Linked DNA regions of Caenorhabditis elegans. The protein of the gene in region 2 purifies or fractionates together with the protein of the main gene of each other region. This does not show direct contact. Each region holds a gene or a part of one and is shown on either strand. Other genes may lie near its edges. The genes, in order: tmed-10 and Y54G2A.18.

Evidence for each region.
Region 1: the proteins of Y54G2A.18 (region 2) and tmed-10 fractionate together in Caenorhabditis elegans (co-fractionation; one large-scale study listed by BioGRID). This does not show direct contact.

What each region holds. Positions count from the first base shown.
Region 1 is NC_003283.11:11,323,445-11,328,913, reverse strand, and holds tmed-10 (GOLD domain-containing protein), read left to right. Parts: upstream 1-1,949; 5' UTR 1,950-1,967; coding exon 1,968-2,072; intron 2,073-2,192; coding exon 2,193-2,255; intron 2,256-2,305; coding exon 2,306-2,630; intron 2,631-4,510; coding exon 4,511-4,632; 3' UTR 4,633-4,949; downstream 4,950-5,469. Other genes in the region: str-141 (Serpentine receptor class r-10), read left to right, coding at 5,094-5,273, 5,346-5,427.
Region 2 is NC_003282.8:2,890,833-2,894,426, reverse strand, and holds Y54G2A.18 (Endoplasmic reticulum transmembrane protein), read left to right. Parts: upstream 1-1,931; 5' UTR 1,932-1,938; coding exon 1,939-2,030; intron 2,031-2,138; coding exon 2,139-2,499; intron 2,500-2,553; coding exon 2,554-2,742; 3' UTR 2,743-2,867; downstream 2,868-3,594. Other genes in the region: Y54G2A.19 (Intraflagellar transport protein 46 homolog), read left to right, coding at 1-10, 114-257; dib-1 (Thioredoxin-like protein), read right to left, coding at 2,933-3,322, 3,462-3,500.

The DNA.
Region 1 (5,469 bases), on a different chromosome or scaffold from region 2:
AGTTCATTTGCATTCATAAGAAATAGGTTTTGTCTTTTCTTGAAAGCAAACATGTCTTTAAATATTATTTTCCACAGCGCCTCAGATCGGGAGAGAAGAGCTAAAGAAGTGGTTTTGGCGCGGGAGCGCGTTTGCTGCAGACGTCGCACGAATTGGAATTAATGTGTAACAAAACAGTAAAATATCGCGTTTTTGCTGGATTTTAGGGATTTTAAAGCAATTTTCAACATGCGGGACCGCCCAGAGACTGTTCGCGATGCGATTTACTTCATTTTAATATAAATTTTCCCCCAAATAAGCTCGAAATGAGCTCTGAATTTCGGCGGATCTGAAAATTTTTTTTGACCAAAAACAGAATTTTGCAAATAAAAATTGATTTTAGAGCAATTTATTGCATAAATATTCAATTTTAGAATTTTTACTAATAGTTTGAATCTTTTTAAAGTGTTTTAGTCATTAATTTGACTGATAACACAGAAAATGATTTTTCTTTACAACGAAATCGATAAAAAAGTAAAGCAACATTTATCAAGGGAAATCTTGCAAAATTGGTTAAAAAACTTGTATGAAATCAAAGATTTCACTAGAATAAAGCTACAAATCAATCAAAATCACTAAAAGTACAAATAGTTCTGATCAAATTTCAATGTTCCAATCTACCAATGGATCTATGCCACGCCAAATTTCTTATGCAAGTGTTGCTCTCCAATTTTCCTTAAAAAATGGATCAAATACTCACATAAATGATCAAATTAACATTTTTTACAAGTTTCGTGTTATATTTTCTTTTTCTTAATAAGGAACCATCAGGTTCTTCCTGCCCTCTACGGCTCTAGATACCTCAACTTCGACAACTCCTATCTACTCGGAGAGGTGAGAGAACTTGTAGAGCACATCAAAAACTATGATATTCAATTTAACCTGCGTTTTTATCTTTCAAGATGGGGGAGTTAGACGTACATTTGTATTGCATGCTTTTTGTTATTCTACTGGCTGCTCTAACTCCCTCATCTTAAGAGATAAACACATGATTTTAACTAATTAGTATAGTTTCTACAATTTCCTAGTTAATCACTTTTTGATATCTTGCATCTCTGAGGAGATAGGAGTTGTCGAAGATACAGTATCTATAGCTATGCGCATATGAAGAATCTAATGGATTCTCATCATGCTATACTACTTATCATCTGCTTTTTGTGGGAAACAATGATTCAAAAATGTTTTTTCAAATGATCAAACAAGTTGTGATTTGATCTGAACATTTAGTGTTGGTTTAGTGAAGATCAGCTGCCAACTAAACAGTTTCCGTTGATGTGGGCATTTTTGAACAATTTCAAGACGTGAAACCGTGTTATCTCTATCAAGCTGACGTTTAAAAATTGGAATCAAACATATTAATGCTTGAAAAAATTTGTTTCGCGTAGAAATTTTGTCATAAAGTTAACTTGTTCTAGTCGGTTCGAAAATCAATGAAAAAGCAGCCAAATCGTGAATTTGTTGAATAAAATGTTTTTTAAAACTTTTTTAAAGCAATAATAATCCCAATATTTAATTATTTTTTCCAAATTTCATCTTGAAAACTCGAATAATCGCGAAATTTCGTCTGAAACTCATTTAATACCGTAAAAGTGTGCAAACGCGCTCCGTTGGACTTTCCTATTCTCGATTTTCTTAACTCTCCCGATTTGAGGCGCTGTGTTTTCCTGTTAAAATGCGTTTGTCAACGTTGACAACTCAACTACGGTTGCCAATGCGTGTTTGCGTACACACTCGATCCCACGCGCAACTGCATACGCCGCGTTGGTTTTAATTCCATCTTTTTTAAATTTATTTTCGGCGTTTGTATTGATTTTTGCTGTGTATTCCTTTAACATGAACTGATTTTTGTCCATGATAACTTTTGAACAACTTAATATTCATTATCGCATTTTTCTTACATTTATTTCCAGGTAATCATCCGAACAATTATGAAATCTCTAGTTATCTTTCTGTCAGCTATCGTTCTTGCCCATTCTCTGAGGTTCTACGTGCCACCAAAAGAGAAAAAGTGTCTGAAAGAGGAAATTCACAAGGTAAATACTTTTACAACTCCTTGTTACCATAGCAGTAAAGATGTCAAACATACTTTTTTTCGTTAAAAATTGATATATTTAATAAACATCAGAATTTATGTCTAATAAAACCTCTTGCAGAATGTGGTCGTAACAGGAGAATATGAGTTCAGTCAAGGAATTCAATACACTGGAAGTATTCACGTGAGTAAAAATAGTTTCAAAATTACTTCAAATTTTTAATTTATTTTCAGGTCACCGACACCAGAGGCCACACTCTCTACAAACGTGAAAACTTTGCTGATCTAAAAGGAAAATTCGCGTTCACTGCTGACGAATACGACATCTTTGAGATTTGCATTGAGAATCATCCACCAGCTGGGCATCCTGGAGAGAAGCGCGAGGTTTCTCTTATTTTGAAGCACGGAGTCGAAGCCAAGAATTATGATGATATTGCCAAAGCCGAGAAGCTGAAGCCACTCGAGGTTGAACTTAGAAGATTGGAGGATATGGCTGATTCAATCACCAAAGATTTCGCATTCATGCGCCAAAGAGAGGAAGAAATGAGAAATACGAACGGTAAGTGTTTAAAAAATCATTTGAATCATATAAAAGGTTCGTAATTATTTTAATTTAAAAATAATGCATTGCCGATTATCCAAGTACAGTGCTCCACATAATGATACGGCCACCCCCAAATTTTGGTATAACTCAAAACTGGGTTGAGATAGCAAAACATAATTTCTTGTGAAAATGTCCGCTGTACTGGCTAACTTTCAGATAAGTATTGGAAATATACATGAACCGTTCGTAAAAAAAGATAAACCATTTTTTCATGAAAATCCATATAAAAAAATCCACAAAATGATACGGCCACCCTTGGTTATTGTTTTCTTTTTTCGTTTTCTTTGCAATTTTTTTTGCTAAACGTTAGGTTTCATGTTCGTTTGTGTTTTTACAGCTATGTGTCGTGGAATAACTTTAACTGACTACGGAAAAAGACAAATTGTGCAAAATTATCTCAAGGCTTTTCGGATCGTCAGATTTCTCGTGATTTGAAACGTTCGAGAGATATGATCATTCGATATGCTTCAAATCCTGCCGCTCATTGCACCAAACAGTCTTCTGGTCGCCCACCACTTCTTTCTGGTAGAGACAAGCGAAAAATCGTTCGTCGAGCATCAAATTGAACAGTGACTTTCTCAAAAATTAGGCGCGAGATGAACCTGCCAGTGTCTGTTGAGACTGCACGACGTGTTCTTTCGAATTCCCAGTTTATCAAAAGACGAAAATTGAGAAAGGCTCCTTTCATTACCGAAAAAACCGCTAAAATCGTATTCAGTTAGCTAAAATCAGCCAGAGAACTAACTGGAGACAAGTGAAGATTACCGTATGATCATTCAAGCCCAATTTTGGTTTTAGTTCATCTTTTCTTCTCTCAAATCGTACCAGTAATCACGGTAGCCTTCTGGTTCATCACAGTTAAACTTTTCCTCGTCACTGAAGATGATCTGAGACCAATACATGAGCTTGAATGATCATACCGTAATCCTCACTTGTCTCCAGTTAGTTCTCTGGCTGATTTTAGCAAACTGAATACGACTTTGGCAGTGTTTTTCGGTAATGAAAGGAGCCTTTCCTAATTTTCGTCTTTTGATAAACTGAGACTTCGAAATAACACGTCGTGCAGTCTCAACAGACACTGGCAGGTTCATCTCGCGCCTAATTTTTGAGCAAGTCACTGTTCAATTGGATGCTAGACGAACGATTTTTCGCTTGTCTCTACCAGAAAGAAGTGGTGGGCGACCAGAAGACTTTTTGGTGCAATAAGTGGCAGGATTTGAAGCAAATCGAGTGATCATATCTCTTGAACGTTTCAAATCACGAAAAATCTGACGATCCGAAAAGCCTTGAGATAATTTTGCACAATTCGTCTTTTTCCGTAGTCAGTTAAAGTTATTCCACGACACATAGCTGTAAAAACACAAACGAACATAAAACCTAACGTTTAGCAAAAAAAAATTGCAAAGAAAACGAAAAAAGAAAACAAAAACCAAGGGTGGCCGTATCATTTTGTGGATTTTTTTATATGGATTTTCATGAAAAAATGGTTTATCTTTTTTTACGAACGGTTCATGTATATTTCCAATACTTATCTGAAAGTTAGCCAGTACAGCGGACATTTTCACAAGAAATTATGTTTTGCTATCTCAACCCAGTTTTGAGTTATACCAAAATTTGGGGGTGGCCGTATCATTATGTGGAGCACTGTATTAAGCTTTTATTATCATTGTTAATTAAATAGATTTGTAAGGCTACAACATATCGTTTCGAGACGCAATTCATTCTCTTCACGGAGCAGGATATTGTGATCCCTGGAAATTGTTTACCACTTTACTTGAGCAAACTCTAATTATTCGATTCATCGACAACCATCTATTTTTTACTTTTTTTTACAGAATCGACAAACAGCCGAGTTCTTTACCTGTCCATCTTTTCAATGCTGTGCCTTCTTGGTCTTGCCATTTGGCAAGTTCTTTTCCTCCGTAATTACTTCAAGTCGAAAAAGCTTATCGACTAGATTTCCCCAACCCTTAATTTATGATTAATTTATCAATTTTTTTTTCGGTTCTCCTCAACTTCTTGCTTTTCCCCCAACATCTCTTTTGTCCACACACCCAAACGTTTCATGTGATTTCTAATTGGTTCCCACATCTTTTTTACTAGATAATGATGATAATGAGTATTTTATTTTGTTGGATTTTAGTTGTTTCCTCCCCCGTTAATCTGCACAAGTATCAACAAAGGGTAAAATGTATAGTGTGTAATGTTTCCGTCTTATTTTTCTGTTTTCATCATTGCCGTTTTTTAAAATCATTATTATGAACTTTTAAATTGAAACATTGAAACATCAATTGGTAATTTACTCACCATATGGTGATTTAGTAAAGTACATAAGATCACTTTTCAAGAAGTCTTTTTCAGACGTCATCCTTTCAGAAATAACTTCAGACTTCATTCTCCACCAGTTCACTTACAACAATGATCGGTCTACATATTTTCCACTACGCCGGCTTTTTCGGAGCACAAATCTTCAATACTGTTCTGGCAATATTAATTGTGAAAAGAGCTGGAAAACTGTTTGGTAGTTACCGTCATGTTATGTTTGTATTCACATTTTGTTCGATGTTGTACTCTGCAGTAGAGATAATTGCACAGCCGGTACGATACAATAGAAAATTGGAACTTGAAATTGAAATTTTGAGAATGTTACTTCAAATAATCGTCTTTCAGGTACTATACATGAAAGGTCCAATGTTTGTCGTGTTTCTTGATAATAACGTTTTTTCTCAAGGCATTGGAAATGTAGTTGCTTGTTAGTTTTAAACATTTTACTTTTCATAGAACTCTTAAACAA
Region 2 (3,594 bases):
CAAAAGCCACGTAAGATTTCATTTTTCCGTTCAAAAAACGTGAAAGAAAACCTTGGTCGCAGGGGAACCTATCGCCAATTTTTTTCTTGTGAATAATGAAATCCTTTTTGCAGAACTCAACATCTGCTCAGTCCAGCGTGTATAATTCTCGCACGGATCCCGAAAACGCGGCAATGGATTCGGACGAGGAGCTTCGGAAGATGATGGAGGGATTCGTTGACGATGAAGAGAGCGACCCAACCTACGAGCCCCCATAATCCCCAAAATTCAATATATTTTATGTTTATTCTCCCAGTCTATTGTGAAATATGTAAACTAATTTCCTAACATTATTAATTGTTTTCCTTATTGTTTCTAATTTCCCTCTCGAAATTCTACCATTCACCGCTCCCAATTATATTTATTTTATTTATTGAGTTTTCTGTGATCTCACACCATTCATCAACACGGTTATTTTATTTTTATTCTCCCAGTCTTGTGAAATATTTATGTAAACTAATTTTCTAACATTTTTTATTGTTTTCCTGTGAATAATATTTTGTTTTTTTTTATTACTGTTTTTCCTTTTTTATTATTGTTTTCCTGTGAATAAATTCGACTGGTGCTCCAATAATTTTGCATTTTTTCCAGAATTTTTTTGGTTTTTTTTTGCCGTATTCATATTTTAAAACATAATTCTGACCATATTACAGAAAATTTTGCCGAAAAAACCAAAATTTGGGTTTTTAAAAATTGTTTTCTAGTAAAGTCGATATCCAAGCTACCGTAACCAGCGCTCCGCTGTGAGACCTATGATCCTTGATGGTGTATGCGCCTTTAAAGCAACCGGTAGTTTTTCCAGCTTTTTAGCAGAAATTATTCGAGAAACTGAAGAAAAGAAGAGTTTTGAATTGTTTTATGCAAATTTCAGCGATTTTTTCTTCAAAAATCTATGAAAACTCCTCATTTTAGTCTTTTTTTTCTCCAAAAAAAACCACATTTGCACAGATATTCCCGGCCGTTTAAAAATAGGTCAAGGTCGTCCTTTCGCCGATTGTTTAGTCATTTTGTCTACGTCTCAGTTACTCTAAAAACGCCCATAACGTACTATGTTCGAGGCGAAAATTTCGCAATTTTTCATCTAAAAACTTCCAACACGCCGAGATACACGTCGCCAAAGCCCCGAGCATAAAAGCATGAGGTATTCATGTTTTGCAGTGCTGATTTTTTGGTTTTTTTTTCTAAATGTTTCCACTTCGTACATTGATTTTTTGCATATTCTGGGACACGATTAGAGTTTTTCTTCAAGTTTCTGTGTGAATTTGGCCAATTTTGAATGAAAATCGCCGAAATTGAGCAATTTTTAAAGAAAATTAGCCATAATTGAACGATTTTCCTCAAAAATTGAATTAAAAGCGTTTTAAAAATACAGTATCCTTAAAGGCGCATACCCAAATTTAGTATTTCGGTGCGAGACCCTCTCGGGTAAATCGAACTCCCTTTAAAGTTAATCCACGTTTTCCTTCAATTTTATTGGATTTTTATGAACTTTTTGCCTGATTTCGATGAAAAATAGCGATTTCAATGAAATTTTCGACGGTTTTTCATGAAAAATAGCGATTTTTGATTAAAAAACGTTTATTTTTGCTCTAAAAATCTTTAATGATTGACCAAATACAGATTTATTGTTTTCTATTTGTTGTCTCCGCTGCTCTTTGGTGTCTTCGATGTTTTTAGTTTTTTTCCGTTTCTCTCCCCTCGGTCTCCCCAATTCTTGCACTCTCTCTCTCGTCCATCGTTGTGTTCCGATCGATTTCAGGCAGTTGTTTGTTGCACTGCCCCCACAAACTCTTATTTCTTATCACTTTTCTTTTTTTTTTCGGTGGAATTTTACCATTTTTCGCTGATTTCTTTTATTAATTTTGACAAAAATATAACTTTTTTTTCTTCAGAAACAACATGACACTTCAGTGGACCATCGTGGCCGGCGTGCTTTACGCAGAAATCGCCATCACCTTCACCCTCCTTCTTCCATGGATCAGACCGACTTTGTAGGTGAAAAGTTCGAGAAAAACCGAGGAAATTGCAGCTTTTGATCAATTTTTGACGAAAAATCGATATTTTTAAATCTTAAAAATCCTAAATTTCTCAATTTCCAGGTGGAGCAAGTTGTTCAAGTCCCGTCTCTTCACAGCTCTCGCCAAACATGCTCACATCTATTCGATCACGTTCGGCTTCGTGCTCTTCATCCTCTTCGCCGACGGCGTTCGCGAGACAATGAAGTACAACGGGCTCGAGGGACAAATGGGCCGTACCGCCGAATCCGACGCCACCCACCACATGCGTCTGTTCCGTGCGCAGAGAAATCTCTACATTTCCGGCTTCGCTCTTCTCCTTTGGCTCGTCATTCAGCGTATTATGACCTTGTTGGGCCGCGCCGCCCAACTTGAAGCCGCCAGCGAGGCCGCAATGCGTCAAGCCGAATCTGCTACCAAGACCGCCAGGACTTTGATGAACTCGGTGAGAAAATAGGCTCAAATTCCTTAAAAACCGTGTAAATTTCCAAATTTTCAGGCTGACACCAACGAAGAAGCCGCCGGATTGGCAAAGCAAATCGAGAAGCTCAAGGGAGAGCTCAAGTCCGCCAACACTGACCGTGACACTCTCAAGAAGCAATCCGAAGGGCTCCAGCGCGAGTTCGACCGCGTCTCCGATCTTCTCAGAGATTCTGCCGAATCCAAGGGTGACAAGAAGAAGGACTAATCGATTCTCATTTCGCGTTTTGTTTTTTCTATTATCAAAATCACAATTTTCTCAAGCCGCCTATATATTTTTGTTTTTGTATAGAATCGCTCAGTTTTCGAGTGAATAAAATGTAAATTATTTTGAAACATTTTTAGATACAGTTTAAGAATTTACAGAACACAGAGAACAGAGAAAATAATTAAAATAATTAGTACTTGTACTTGGTCGAGTAGTCTTTCGGCGAGATGACAAGACCACGTCCTTTACGAGCTCCACGATAGACCGTCTCGATGATGTCGATCAGCTCCTGCCCGTCGGTCACTGCCCAGTTGATTTTGTTGTTGTTACCGGTTCCCAGATCCACCATAATATGCTTGTTACGGAAGAAGAACATGGCGGTGCACGGATCGTACAGCTCGTACATTTTGTTGAAATCCGGCACCTTCGTGATGTCGACGAGGTAGACGACGGCGAAATTCTTGACTTTTGGCGCGATTTTGAAGAGCGTTTCGTCCATTTGCATGCAAGTTGGGTCCCAATCGTGTCCGAATCGCACGACGACTACGCGATCTTCTTCGGCGAGAATCGCCTGGTCCACCTGCAATAAATCGTTATTTTTTGTCAGTTTTGAGCATTTTAAACAAATTTTCATCACAGAATTCTGTTTTTCTGAACAGCAAACATTAAATTTGCAGGTTTTTTTGCCGTTTTAAAATCAAACTGTCAATTTCCCTTACCTGCCAACCATTCTCCAAATGAGGGAGCATATACGACATGGTTGCGTTGAATTAGTGAGTTTTTGAGCCAACAAATCTGAAAAATTGATAAATTTAATGGAAAAATGGCTGAAAACATGAGAAAGTAACAGAA